3 linked regions of the Schizosaccharomyces pombe genome follow. Changing the gene in region 1 together with any one later gene gives a genetic interaction. Each region holds a gene or a part of one and is shown in the gene's direction. Other genes may lie near its edges. The genes, in order: mug28, zrg17 and SPOM_SPCC297.05.

What was found.
Region 2: mutations in mug28 (region 1) and zrg17 together harm fitness more than expected from each alone (negative genetic interaction), as found in Schizosaccharomyces pombe (one large-scale study listed by BioGRID).
Region 3: mutations in mug28 (region 1) and SPOM_SPCC297.05 together harm fitness more than expected from each alone (negative genetic interaction), as found in Schizosaccharomyces pombe (one large-scale study listed by BioGRID).

The regions. Positions count from the first base shown.
Region 1 is NC_003424.3:1,648,980-1,653,529, forward strand, and holds mug28 (RNA-binding protein Mug28, implicated in mRNA processing), read left to right. Parts: upstream 1-2,032; coding exon 2,033-2,162; exon of another isoform or gene 2,163-2,205; coding exon 2,206-2,362; exon of another isoform or gene 2,363-2,409; coding exon 2,410-3,097; exon of another isoform or gene 3,098-3,147; coding exon 3,148-4,002; downstream 4,003-4,550. Other genes in the region: vma1 (V-type ATPase V1 domain-containing subunit A), read left to right, coding at 1-236; pls1 (phospholipid scramblase), read right to left, coding at 633-1,778; mrp17 (mitochondrial 37S ribosomal protein bS6m), read right to left, coding at 4,309-4,327, 4,377-4,550. UniProt on the Schizosaccharomyces pombe protein: Has a role in sporulation.
Region 2 is NC_003423.3:1,944,336-1,948,359, reverse strand, and holds zrg17 (Golgi zinc importer, CDF family, Zrg17), read left to right. Parts: upstream 1-1,953; 5' UTR 1,954-2,037; coding exon 2,038-3,198; 3' UTR 3,199-3,423; downstream 3,424-4,024. Other genes in the region: SPOM_SPBC16E9.15 (uncharacterized protein), read right to left, coding at 985-1,082, 1,147-1,189, 1,239-1,262, 1,320-1,382; serine/threonine protein kinase Ksp1, read right to left, coding at 3,709-4,024. UniProt on the Schizosaccharomyces pombe protein: Probable transporter involved in the regulation of zinc homeostasis.
Region 3 is NC_003421.2:1,880,564-1,886,487, forward strand, and holds SPOM_SPCC297.05 (diacylglycerol-binding protein), read left to right. Parts: upstream 1-1,915; 5' UTR 1,916-2,204; coding exon 2,205-5,126; 3' UTR 5,127-5,286; downstream 5,287-5,924. Other genes in the region: calcium/calmodulin-dependent (CaMKK) protein kinase Ssp1, read left to right, coding at 1-109; histone lysine methyltransferase Set7, read right to left, coding at 753-1,163, 1,477-1,509; SPOM_SPCC297.06C (uncharacterized protein), read right to left, coding at 5,399-5,924.

The DNA.
Region 1 (4,550 bases):
TTTACAAGACTTATCATATGATGCGAAACATGATTGCTTACTACACAAAGGCTAAAAGTGCCGTTGAAACTGGTAGCGTTCCTTGGTCAAAGATTAAAGAAAGTACTTCAGATATCTTTTATGAGTTAACCTCGATGAAATTCGAAAACCCTAATGAAGGCGAGAAGGAAATAGTCGAACACTATGAAACTCTGCACAAGAAGATTGAGGACAAGTTTCACACTCTGACTGAGTAATTATTTTTTGAACAACTAAGTTTTTAATTCTAGTTTTTGCTGGCTATAGACTACTAGCTTGATAATACAGACTTCCAGTAAACATTGCTTTCACGTTATCCAAATATATGTCCTAAGTAATTTTGCACATTAAATCGCGAATCAACCGCTTCTCGAAATAATATATTTACACAAATACAAGCCGTCTTCAACAAACTCTTTTGAAGAAATAAATTCAGTGATATAGTCAGTAGTTGTAAATTATGAGAAAAACAAAATAATGACTAGAAGGGATAGTAATAATAATAATAATAATAAAAACAGTAATAGTAATGACTAATCAGATTTAACTTTTTAAGGAGAAAAAGTATCTTTTTGGATATATCGTTAATAAATAAATAATAATCAGTTGAACAATCAATCATCCCCGTCACGGTCAAAAATATCCCAAAAATCTTGCTGATCCAAGTCTGCATCAGACAAAAAAGGAGACTTCGTTTCAGATGAAGAATCATTGGTGGAAGGCGTAGTTTCCTGGTCGTTTTTTAAAATTTCCTGAGCAGACAGGTCTTCAGCTGGATAATCGTGGTTGGAGGAAGAACCTCCAAACATAAACGGAATATTCAGTCCCAGTGCTGGGCCACCATGAATACGGCTAAAATAATCAAAATCAATAGTGACAGCACTGCCTAGCATAACTGCCCTTTCTTCTAAACTCATATCACGTGCACAAACATCATTAGCGATTCCATGAGCAGCTTGAAGCAATTGATTTTCATTTACAGAACCATTGGCTGCACTCGTAGAGGTAAATCGAAGAACGTAATTACCAGTATCAGTAAAAAATTCACGAGGAAGCCCCATGAAATTCCGTGAAACACTACCTAGGATGCGATCCTGCTCGTTTCGCAACAGAAACTCCCAACTTAGCACTCGCTCATCAATTTTGGCAAACTGTTCAAACATAGAACGCTTCGCAAGGAACAATTCATAGCGACGGCGCCATAAATGCCATTTTTGAAGGACTTCGCCAACTAAAGTAGACGAGAACTTACTGTAATCAATAGAATGAATTTGTAACCGGGAGTTTATCCAAGAAAATGGTCGATTGAGTTGTAACACCAACTGGCCGTTACTGTCCATTACATCTGCCTTAAACGCACGATGTGTGTGGAAAAATTGTCTTGATAAACTTGATAATATGGATGAGGCACCCTGTTCTGCAATGTATCCAAGATGCTGACCTTGTTGGTTAAGAATTACATAGCGGTTAGCCTGTTCATAACCAAGAAAAACATTCATCATTTCAAGTTGCCTCTCTACTATAAGAACATCTTGTGATAATAAAGGGGCCGCTGGAGAATTTAATGGAATAGCTCCAGTACTGCTAATGGCAGCAGGCTCTTGAGAGACTACTTTCGCTGTAGCGTCAATGTATCGTGTAGATTTGCTATGATGATAAAGGCGACATCCAAACCGTTTGAGCCCATAAAGCATAGTTAAATGATTACTGGAGACAAAGGTTTGAATTGGAGTAATGTTAGCCCATAGAATTTCAAGCATAGGTTTGAGAAATTAAAATTAGTTTGTGGTTCACCTATACCACAGAGGGTTGCTGAGACAAATATGTAATAAAGGCTGTGTAGTAAGTTTCACAATTTAAAATAGCACATACTATGCGATTACCTTAAAGCTTTACGAAATATAGGATACTACATTAAATTGCTTATGAACAGCTAACATTGCGGTAATTTCCTGTTTACTTTTGTTTACATTGAGAATTCCGAATTCTATAATTACCAACTAGACACATCACAATGATTGCACTTGAAAAACTTTCAGAAAAGAACAAAAGGAGCACTAAGAAGTGTGAAATTTCCATTTACGTAGGGAATTTACCTTCAACGTGCCAAAGCTCAGATCTTCATGAACTGTTTGAACCTTTCGGTAATCGTATATGAATAAACAATTTTTTCTCTAACTGTTTAAGGTAATTTCTCAAAATTCCACATGCTAAGTAGAAAGAAGAATAAGAGTACTGACTCTAAATCCCCAACTTTATTTGCATTTATCACATTTGAAAACAAATGTAGCGCTGACAACGCAATTGCCTCCTTAAACGGGAGTTCGTTCCAAGGAAATACTTTGTACGTAGATTTTAAAATAATAAACGCTAATAGAGCAACAATTATAGGAAGGTCGAGTATACGCATATCGTGGAGAGATACAAAAATAAGTTGGAAAATGGAGTTGACCAAATTCATCACTCGAATAATGAAAAAGCAAAAATTCGGTTTTCAAAAATAGAAAAGTATACAAAGGAAACACGACCGACAGTATCAGAGGTTCGAGTTAGTACCAAAGACAAAAAGGAATATTCGATGAATACCTCAAATTTAGTTCAATCAAACCCCCCAAAAGTGCACGACAAAGAGAATGCATTTGCAGAAGCAACAGGAACTAGTATACTTAGCTCAAAAGCAGTTCAAACACTCTTAGTTTCAGATTTCACGGAGAATGAGCCAAAGCATCTGTCTATCAGGCCAAATTGCAAAGATAATAATACACCGTCCATTTCTAACACTTTTATTGAGCCATATAAGGAAAATAACACGGAACATTTACACCTAAAATCTGCTTTTGAACCCTGTCAAATGATGCCAGGTATGCTTCTAGAACAGAATCCCCAATTTTTGTACGACAACCCTTCTATTTTTGTGATTGGGATTTTAAACCTTCCGTTGAAAGTATCACCAGTCGAGCTTTACAATGAGTTTAGCAATCATGGTCACATTCTCGGTGTAGCCATCAATCAAAGCATAAATGAAGATATGACTCACTACGCAGAAGTGGCTGTGAGCACCTATGAAAGTTGCATAGAGGTATTAAGCAAGCTATTTTTTGCTATAGCATTACTGACCTTTTAATTTAGATCATTGAAAAATTTCACGCCATTGCGTATGAAGGATCCATTTTACAACTTTTTATAAAACAACCTGTTCAGGGATTTTGCTCTAATTTGTTAAATCACCCAGAAGGAACCATGACAAATTTATTGCCCCCAAATATGGAAATGCCTCAGCCGTTTGAAATTCCAGTGATTGCCAAAACTTCTGCTTTGCCAAATCCATTTATTTCATTCCCTTCTTTCCAAACATCGTATGAAACGACAGTAACGCCAACACCAACCTCAACACCGACAATTGATCCTTGTAATTTATTTGTTAAAAACTTGGATGATAATATAGTAGGAAACACACAACAATTAGAAGAACTGTTTTCGAAATTTGGAAGGATAAAATCTTGCACTTTAGCGTCGTATCCCAGTACAGAAATATCCAAAGGCTATGGTTTCGTATCCTTCAGTCATCCATTTGAAGCTGTGCAAGCAATTAACACGTTAAATGGAGTGTTATTCGGAAAGAAAAGATTATTCGTGAATTATGCAGAAAAGAGAGAAGATCGCAAAAAGCGACTGAGTGCTATATTTAGCCAATCTTACCCTCCAGTTGTTCCATCGCCCTCTCTAACAATTCCAATGGCTACTGAACCACAAATTTTAGAGTATCATCAGGAATGGCCTCAACCTCTAATACAATCTATACAGCAGCACGGGTATAGCGATCCTAGACAAACATTACCAACTCGTTTAGATTCATGTGCCGCTAAGCTACGTGAAGCGGTGATTTCAAACGAAAACCTAAACCCAAGCCATAAATTCGGCATAAAACACTCCACATTCAAAACTTCACTATCGCCTTTAACCAACATTGTATTAAACCAATAAATAAAAGCAAGATATGTCTAAAGGACATAATATCAGTACCTGTCGTTTAAATATTTTAACAGTTCTTTTTTTTAATCTATCTCCCATGAAATTTAGGGACATAGTATTATACAAAGAAGATCGGAAAAAGTTGAAACACAAGGAGTCGTTAACAACGGTTGAAATTTCACATTTTAGCTCTGGAAAAGTATGTTTATTTTATAAAAGAAGAAAAGAAGAAAAAACCCCAAAAAAACAAGAATAATAAAAGATAATTGGACAGCTCTGCGAATATTTTTATTTTCTCAAAATATGAATACGCTCATTCTACATTAAATCACTCAATCTACACAAAAGGAATTAGTATAATAAAATAGTTTATAAAAAGAACATACTTATCTGCTTTTTTGACGATCATATAGCGAAGAACCGAAGGTTCAAGTCTCAGAATCCTCTGTATCTCAGATTGAACTGTGGGGTTACTGTAAAAGGTCATAGACCACCAGTGACCAAAAGAGTAAGATTGATTTAGTTTTTTTATAGGTTTAGCCAGTTCCTTAAGTCCCATG
Region 2 (4,024 bases), on another chromosome or scaffold:
GCCGCCTATCACTATCCTGCCACCACTGAGACTGTTTCAAGCAAAGCAGCCCGCTCTGCCACCACTCCTGCTTATGTTGGCGGTGCCACTAAAACTCCTAGTACGACAAAGGCTGTTGAATCTACTCCCAGCACCTTGCCTACTTCAGCTTCCACAAATGCTGCTGCTACTACTACCACTAAAAAGCCCAAGGCTGCCAAATCTACTGCTGTACGTGATGATGTTTCTTCTGCTTCTTCGGATAGCGACAAGGGTACCACCGGTTTGGGCAAATCTGAAAGCAAAAGTTCCCGCAAGGAACGTAGAAGCAGCACCAGCAGCGGTCATGGCTTGATGAACAATGTTCGTCATGCCTTGGGTATGTCCAACAAGTAAAGGGAATACTTGCAATATCAAAATTTTTGGACGTAACCTTCATTATCTCGTGAATCCGTTATGAAAAAAGGTTTTTATTGTATGGTTCTTATTTGAAAAAAAGGGACGACAACTTTTTGAGGGGAAAGTTGTCATCCTTTAAAGGTTGGTTCTTTATGATGGAAAGTACTGCGAATTGTTCGTAATTTATTAATGAGATTCTTTGTTTATACGAGTAAAGAAATTGAATGCGATGGATATAGAAAATGTAATGTAGCTTTAGTTTTAAGTAGTTTGATTGTCTGTGGTGGGTTGTATATGCTTGCTTTGGCCTTGCTAGATAATCAAAACAAGAAACAATATAAAATGTACAATAGAACTAACAGGTAAAAATAAATGTACAAAAAATAAATGATTTGAATTTTCTCGTACGAACATGTAAACAATTGAAAAAGACAAACAATCGAGACTTAGAAATACAATTGAAAATAAATAGACAGAGCAAGACAAACAGAGGTTATTCTTAATAAAATAGAGCAAATCTAGCACAATCCCCAATCCACCACGTCAAACAAGCTGTATGCTCACTTCAAATAGAAAGCTTTGAAAATCTTATGCGGTGAATCTTGTTCACTCGGTCGATGTGACCGGTGAGACAGAAGACTTTTTGTTCATGGCCTCACGCATGGATTCTTCAAGTTGATCTAAACGAGTTGACATCGTTTCCACTGTTAACATAAAAAGTTATGATTAGTAAAGCAAAATCTTTCATTATAAATTAGAGAATCGTACATTTCTCAGAGAATTGCTTTTGTAGGGTCTCAAAGTCGCCAGACTATAAAAATCTGTTAGAATGATTAACTAAGCACAATTCTTCTTCTTACAATATCCTCCAATAACTTATCAGTCTAAAAGTAAACAAGGTTAGATCATTAAAAAAAAAGAAAGACTAATCTTAAACGCACCAAAGTCGTGATCGCAGATGTGGATTGAGGATTTTTAGAATTCCCTCTAACAGACGCAGACATTGTAACCGAAAACCTTTTTTTTAATATGTATAGATGCTTCCTTCAGGTAATAAGAACTCACTTGTGAATACAATAGTTGGTATTTGGAAGAGAAATGGAAGAAGTAGGTAAAATAGTTGATGGAACTCAGCTAGGAACCTCTGCGTAATGTTATTTACCTACACATAATTATTTTTATTATTTTACCAAGTGTATTTATTGTCTTATCGAGTACATGTGGAAAAGTCGTAGAAGGAGAATTCAGGCCCTTGGAGTGGCCTTTTTTTTATAACTTAATGATGATTTTATTTTTAATTAAACGAATTAAAAAAATTACTCATAATATCCTTGTATGGATGACTTTGAGCCGCATGTTTGAACCCTATATATATGGCGTTCCACGATGGCTCTGAAAGGTAAGTTTGTTCATCTTTAACCGTTTTCTACTAAGCGTTTTTTATTCCTAGTCACTAAAAAGTAGATGTCTCAAAGATGGTACAACACTATGGCTTTTTATAATCATTTACTGATACAGTCAATATCTTTATCTTAGACTGTTGCAATTTGGGCCTAGTACCAACTGGTCTTACCCATCCACTCCACCAAACGCATGGGTGAGTGAGTTTTTAAAAAAGCCATTATAGAATTGTTGAAAGTATATCTAAATGAATGAAAAATGACTCAAAATCATAACATCCCGACTGCTATTCAGATTCAAAACCCTATAAATAATAATGTCTCTGTAACTATTAGTGATCAGTTACCAAAACCGAGTGCGAATAATCCCAACTTGTTAAGCGTGGATACTCGCCCTACCCACAGAAAAGGCCATCATCACAAACATTCGCTTTCGCATCAATATTTCTTACCACCCAAGAATCGACAGCCGTTAGAGATACCTGCCAGTTATCCCATTCCTACTTTTAAAGAAACATTCGCAATCCTTACTTTTCCTCAAAAACTAAAATTGACAAGCTCAATCCTATTCTTTTTGGTCGCCGTAGGGGTATTACTCTCGGGGGATGCTACTATCCTACTCACTTTATCTTGCTCTTTAATCGTAGAAGGTGTTTTAATCATTATCAACGTTTGGCGTGAAACATTGGATTCGTTCCTCGTCTGGCGACACACGTGTTTACGTTACCCATTTGGAATGCAACAAATGGAATTACTTGTTGATTTTTCCTTCTCAATCCTCTTAATCTTCCTCGGCATGAACCTCCTAAAAGAGCCTGCCGAACATGCTATAGAAGATTGGGGTAATCTCCATCATGCTGGCGATCATGAAGAAGAGACTGTACACATTCATTTAACCATTTCATTGTTTGCTTCGGCTATAATATCGGGATTTGCATTATTGTTGGATCACCCTAGTGCTCACATACGAGAACTCAATTCTCGCTTTTTCCATGGACTCACATTAGTACCTTCACTCATCCTCGTGTTGCTGTTAAGTCTTGGTTATCAAGTTGGTTCATTTCTCAGCCATTTGCTTTCCTTAACTATTGCTGTTACTGCCCTGGTGAATGGGTTCTCCATTGCCAAATCGCTTGCCTTAATGCTCTTGTTGACATACTCTAATAAAGAAAAGGTCTTTGAATGCGTCTCCCTTATAAAAGAGGATACACGAATTGACCAACTTAATTATGCTGCCATTTGGCAACCTCATTATAATACTTGTATTGCTAATATTGGCTTAACCGTTTCAGGAGGTGAACGAGAGCAGGCAGCAGTTCGTGAAGATATTATAAGGATTATACAAAAAACAGTAGGAAGCATATTTGGTGCTGGTGTTCAACCCAAATGGGAAATATCAGTAGATATCCAGAGAGCCTAATCGTTTTTTCCTATCTTACAACCAACCGTGTTTGTAACTCACTCGTTATATTTTTATTATCATTTAATGCATGCATATTTTATCAACATATGACATTATCCACCTTTGCGGAACTTTCGCTGTCTCGAACAGTTTGGATTCATAATCTAATAAATGCCATCCATATTTACTATAGAATTACCAACACCTTTTTCATTCTTTCCTTTAATTTATACCGCTTATTACAAATTATAAGGAGAATACAAACTCAAGATTTTAATATGAAATGAATAATTTTATTATTATAAATAAGGCATGTGTGGTCGTTGCATACTAAAAGGATCAAGTCTAACTAATAATAGAATGCGTATATAGAAGGTATTTTCATATGTAAAAAAAAAAAAGAAAAACGTAAGCATATATATGACCCTCAATTAACATACAGATTCCAAAGGACAAGTAATGCAATTTACTACTTTAAACGTAGCTCTTACCAAGCTTGGAAAGAAAGCGCAAAAAACAAGTTATCGTTTATGAGTTATCATTCCACTGGGATAGAACATTCCAGTCGTCAGCAAGTCCAATGTGCTTAGACGAAAGTTCGTCAGAAGCACCAAAGTCATCGTTAGAGCCGAAGCTAACAATGTCTTCCTCATCTTCTTCATCCATATCACACCAACTGCGGCCAAATTTAAGATGATCCTTGTTTCCTTTAATACTGTTAGGAAATACGATAGCTGGTGCACTGCAAGAATAGGGAGAACGTTTCGTATTAACGGGTACTGCTGTTGCAATGGATTTTCCAATATGCATATTATTGAGACTTTCACCAAGTCCAGAATCATAG
Region 3 (5,924 bases), on another chromosome or scaffold:
TTTTCATCCAGTGGTTCCTGGTTTTGTATCATCACCTAACCTTCATTTAGCCGGGGGCTCTGACACACCTATCTACTGCATTGAGCATTCCTTCACACCAACTAATTGAGTGCTGTATGAACATTTCCCAATTTTATTCAATTGTTTTTTTTTTGCAATGTAGGTTGCATGTGTCTTTTAATTACTCATTTCTTATTCTTGGCTTTTTACCTAGTGTTCAATAACACTTTGTCATTCGTTTTCATCAAATCATGTCATTCGGACCTTTTAGATTTTTATTTGTCCTATATGTTTGCCCCATCTCAAGAGAAGCCTTTTTTTTTCCTTTTTCTAAATAAGACGCTTAGGTTCCAAGTCTTTTGGAAAAAAGGTGACTTTATTGATGATTCTTGCGCATTCCACTCGTTTTACTCGTTTATTTTAAAATGTTTTATTATCTAATGTGCCTTTTGTTTACCTCGTATATCGTGATTTTTTTTCCTATGAGCAAAAAAAATTTACTGATTAGACGTTGAAACTGGTTTTTTTGATGAATTCTTCTTATTCCTGGCATAGGAAATAAATATCATTTTATTATTTTTTTATGACCTAGTTTGTAATTTCTTCTATGTGCTGTTGTGATACAAATCTATTGAATATAGGTGAAGTGGGGCAACTTTTGTATGGTGTGATTTAGAAGACAGACAGCAATATTGCTACCATTTGAGAAATTTTATCTTCTAAAGCCTACAAATTGGACGTATGAAGAATTTTTATAAACTAATATTTTGTAAGGGAAAATCTTCATTTTCCTCGTTTGGACTTATTCGTGAAGCAGATGATGCTTCGTCTTCGAACCACAGATGATCTCCGTATGAAATACAGAGTTCCTCATTTGTTTTTATCTCTCGTAATGTGTAATATGAGATGTAGTTATTGCGATTGTCTTTTTTCCAATACACGTTTGGATGACGGTCGTGATTGAACATACTTCCAAGTCCTAGAGCTAATCCTTGTTTGCCTTCGCTCCAAACATATGTGTATTCGTTAAGAACTGTATACTGTCCATGTTGTTCATATTCTTCTTTGCTGAACATCAATACAGGACTAATCTCAATGCATGTTTGTGCTGGAATAGGCTCAAGAGCAAATACTCCTCGGCCTTTTCGTTCTGTATCACGAATCTAAAGCGTTAGTAAACTTATAATTAGACACAATCGTTCAGTCTGTCGACTGATTTTACTAAAGAAAAGAAAAGAATGTGAAATGTTTTCTTTTATATAAATGATTATGAATCATGCTGTGAATCGTTGATCCGTAACATTACCCTTTCGATTATACAACAACAACAATCTTCGACATTTGCTTTTTCTACTGTCTGACTCAACTCATAGCAAAATTCACACAAATAAATATAAATGAATCGAAACACAAAAAAGTTAATTTAAAGTGACTTTTAACTTTCTTCTATCTTCTAGCTATCCTACAATACCTTACCTCAAGCGGACTACGAATAACAGGAATCCGCATTACAAAATCAATTTGACAACTGTCTTAATGATCGGTGTGCTTCACTTCTTACACCTTTTGTGAATTACTTAATTTTAGATGTTTCGTGTCTTTATAGATGAGCCAGGGAGTTGATTTCTTTGGGCTCACGTTTGATGTCTTTCTTTTTTCATATATTAAATTAGTAATTTCTAATAGAAATAAACCAAACAAGGAACTTATTTCACATATACGAATGGCAAAAATAGTTAGTAAGTTAATAGGAAAAAATTTATTTTTCCCAAATAAGGCAGCTATAAGACTCCTTAAACCTATTGTGGTGATACTTCGGGTCATGGTACGTTGCTATATTCACTTTAGTAGATAAAAGGTTATAGTGCGCTATGTTTTTCTATCGAACATTTTGCTGCATAAACAGTCGCAAGTTACCGTTTTCCATTTAGTGTATGGAGGATGCTTTTTGAGGTATTGGCGATCTGTAGTTAAATTGGCATTTGAACAGGTTGGAAAGTGCGTAGGAATAGTTATACTGTTAGCGTTGAAGTGCCCAATTCCTTACGAAAAAAGTTTCGCACGATTTATGTGGAATCGATTTGTGGCATATTTAGTAAGTTTATTCTTCAAAAATATAATATAAGCTACAAAACAAGTTATCTTTTCCTTAATTATTGCATATGCGATTGCGATCATTTACGATGCTTTAAGTTGCGAGTGGAATGGAAAGTATCGCAGATCATTTCTTTCTCGCAGGTCTCTCTAACGGATTTGTGAGTGTATCCAATTCTCAATTTCGAGCAGATAGACTTGATGAAGACGCCATATCTGTTTCTAGTTCTATCATCCAAAACAATACAAGGAAGTCGCCATTAAAAAGAGTGTCAATCACTTCTGAGTCTTCTTTTTATAAAGAAAATACCTTTGCGCATCACAACACCACTGGATCCAATTCTGTGGGTCCAAAGAAGCCGTTTTTAGATTATCATCACTCAACATCTAACACACCGACCAAGAAAAAAAAGGATTCATTTGACCATGCCTCCGTTACGTCCTTACATCGTCGTAGCTTATCCTCTAATACTTCAACACCTCGAAAGTATCATTCCAGAAAGCCATACTCCGAGCCTTCTGTCATCGATAAAGAGCATTTACAAAACCGCGTTAGTATCGGTACTACGCATACCCAAAATGATTTGTATCAGTCTTATGTTGCATATCCTGATGCCCTGCCCTTATTCGCTGCTACCCATCCATTCGAGAGACGCTATCCTCCTTCTCTCCTCCATCAATTCCCTTCTTCCAAGGACATAAAAAATGAGACACCGACTATTGACCGTTGTGATTTCCCTAATTATGTTCCGATGTTTGCTTTTCCTAACGACATAACTATAAAAGAATCGGATGTTAGACCTGTATCAACCTACCACTCTTTTGCTTTGACCAGTGACAATAACAGCCACTTGTATGGGATTTGCGTGGTAGTTTGGGTTGCAATGCCTCAATCTATGCAAAATGACTTGGAAAAGGAATGTGAAGTTTGGAGAGCTAATAATACGACTGTGGAAGACCGTGAGGTTGCCGAGAAGCTTTTATCCAGTTTAGAAACGGAGCGATCAAAACTTTCTTCATTATTATTAAAAATGCAAGAAAAGGAACTTGAAGGGAGTGATTCCATCGATCCTATACTCTTGGAAAAGATTGATGTCTGTGAAGAAAACATTATTCTTTATACTGAACTTCTTCGTCCTATGCGCTATAAATTACCTAGATTTGTTCATGGACTGACAAATAACAGGACTTTATGGATACCCAATGCTTATGGATTATTGAGTAAGCATTCACATTTGCAGTCCTTTTGTCGGGATTGGCTTCGAATAGTATGCTCCTCTATTCAAGCTGAAGATCTCGATTTTATCCCTTCGTCAGATTTAAATTCCCTTAAATCACTAAACCTTCAATCGTTTGTAAAAAACATTTGCTGTGATGTTCCTTTGCCGCCGAAAGGACTTCTGCAGTTGCAAGTTAATGTCGGCCCATTAAATCTTTACGCATTTAGGAGTCCAGTCAATGAAATCCCAGGTTGGAATGATGTTGACTTATATCCGTTATTTCGTGCATTAAGTATCCCTAATATTCTTGTTCTTTTTGAGGCTGCTTTAATGGAAGCTAAAGTTATATTTTTGTCTGAAAACTTAGGAATGCTGGGATATGCATCACAAGCTTTACTACATTTGCTTTATCCTCTTACGTGGCAAGGGCTTTATATTCCTGTTTTACCCAGGCGTTTGATATCTTGTTTTGAAGCTCCTTGTTCGTACATTATTGGCACTCTATCGTACTTTTTTCATATGGACGACGTTCCTCTGGACAATATTCCGCTTGTTGTTTGTGACCTTGATAAAAATTCTGTATCTACGTTTGGGAAAATTGTTCGTCTTTCTCGCTCATTGCGATCTAAGTTACAGGCCCATCTGAAGCTTGCGGCGCCACTTCATGATAAATTTTATGTACCACATAGCCCTCCAAAGTACACAATGGAAACTTATCCAAATAATGTCCTTTCGTTGAGTACAGTTACATGTTTTCCTTTGAGAGAAAAGTTTTCTATCCCAGCACTTTTGTCTTTTAGAAGCTCCAATTTTTCCAAAAGGCCTTATGTACTCTCTCCTATCTTAAACGGTTTCCTTAAGCTTCAAGACAATCCTTCGAGTATTTATTTTGCGAAGCAAACTGACTCGCGCCAGTCATCAGCTTCAAAACTTTTATATGCGCGTTTACAGGCGCCTGAGCATGCTCGCAACTTTTCTTCTCCCCCTTTTACGAGACCTGCTTCTCCATCTTCTTCAAAGTTTCGGTTTTCTTCTTCTTCTTTCCAATCGACGATAAGAAGAAATTCCCTCACATCACCTTATTCGGTCCCTGAACTTCGTTCTTCTGAATCTAATCAAAATAAAGCTGGTTCTATTAACACCGGATCTGCTGTGAACCTTGTGAGTTCTAAGCCAGGAGAACAAAAAGTTCACATTATGTACAAAGAGGGGCATAAGCTGAGACGCATCTATAAAATGTTTCCCGCGGATAGCGCTGGCTCCATTTGCGCTGTCTCAGGATATGCATTGGGTGACGTCCATGTTCAATGCGATAATTGTGGGCTACGTGTTAATCTGGATTTCATAAAACATATATCAATGCCATGTGTTCCAGCATGTTTTAATAGTCAGCAGATATTAGTGACATTTTTAAAATTCTTTATAAAAATCTTAGGGTCATATCGGAATTATTTACGCAAACCTCATATGTCTCGTGAAAATTTTGGTATTTCTAAAGGAAGTGGTGGTCTTATAGGATCATTCGACTTCAATAAATTTACTCGGCAAGCTTCCAAAGTTCACGGGAGTTGGATTTCATCACTTTGTAGCTCACAGGCATTTGCAGAATTCATTGGCGATCGATGCGAGCTTGATCTAAATGATCCCCGAGTGGCACTGTTTGATCAGTTACTTCTTTGTGAACGCAATCATGGTAAACCAAGGCTTTTTGGAAAGGCCACCCCTTTTCTACGAGACAAGTCATTGGAAATCCAAAGAATTGAGGTTGCACCTATACCAGCTTCGTTGAAGAATGACAATGCTTTACACTAGGTTAGGTTATAGACGCACTATTTACGAATTATTAATGCTCAATAGACTTCTTTTTGGTTATAGTTAAAATATTTAATCGAACAACTCTAAAACGCTTTTCATTTTTTATACTTTGATTAAATTTGTGAATTTTTAATATAAAGTCATATACATCTTAAGTTGAGAGAAATTAAATACTCATTATGTTTGACTCATAGTTAAAAAGCTCTAATCATAATGAATAGTTGCACACTTCTTTGGTTTTATAAATGTCGGCGTAATTGCTAAAATGATCAACTAGAAAAACCTTGCAACCTAGCCTTGGCTAACTCTCGTAGCTTTTCAATTGTTTCTAACTCTTTTTTATTTCTTTCCTCAATTTTATTTCGAAGCTCTTGGTCGCGCTCAAGTCTTTCCATTTCTCGTTTTGAAGCCCTGAATTCTGACCGTTGTTTTTTTTGCTTCAATCGGGACTGAAATGAGTCCCGGTCTCCGTATAAGTCGGTTTCTTTCAAGTCTTCTTCATTGTCAGATGCTTCGCGATAATGCTTCAAAGCAGCTCGTTTTTCCTTCTTTTTCTGTTGCATAGCTTCTTTGCTTCCTGCTGGTTCTTTTGGAAGAATTTCATCCAACAATTCTGTCTCCCTTTTAGCTTGCGATTTAAAAGCTGATTTTCGGGATAGCTTTCTCAACTCGTTTAATTGCTCCTGCAATTCTCGTCGATCTTGTAAATTTTCCAAAGTTGGTCGACTTGGACCTACAAGACGAGCATAAGAGGGTTGAGATATTCTCTTTCCCAACGAATACCATTTACTTTTC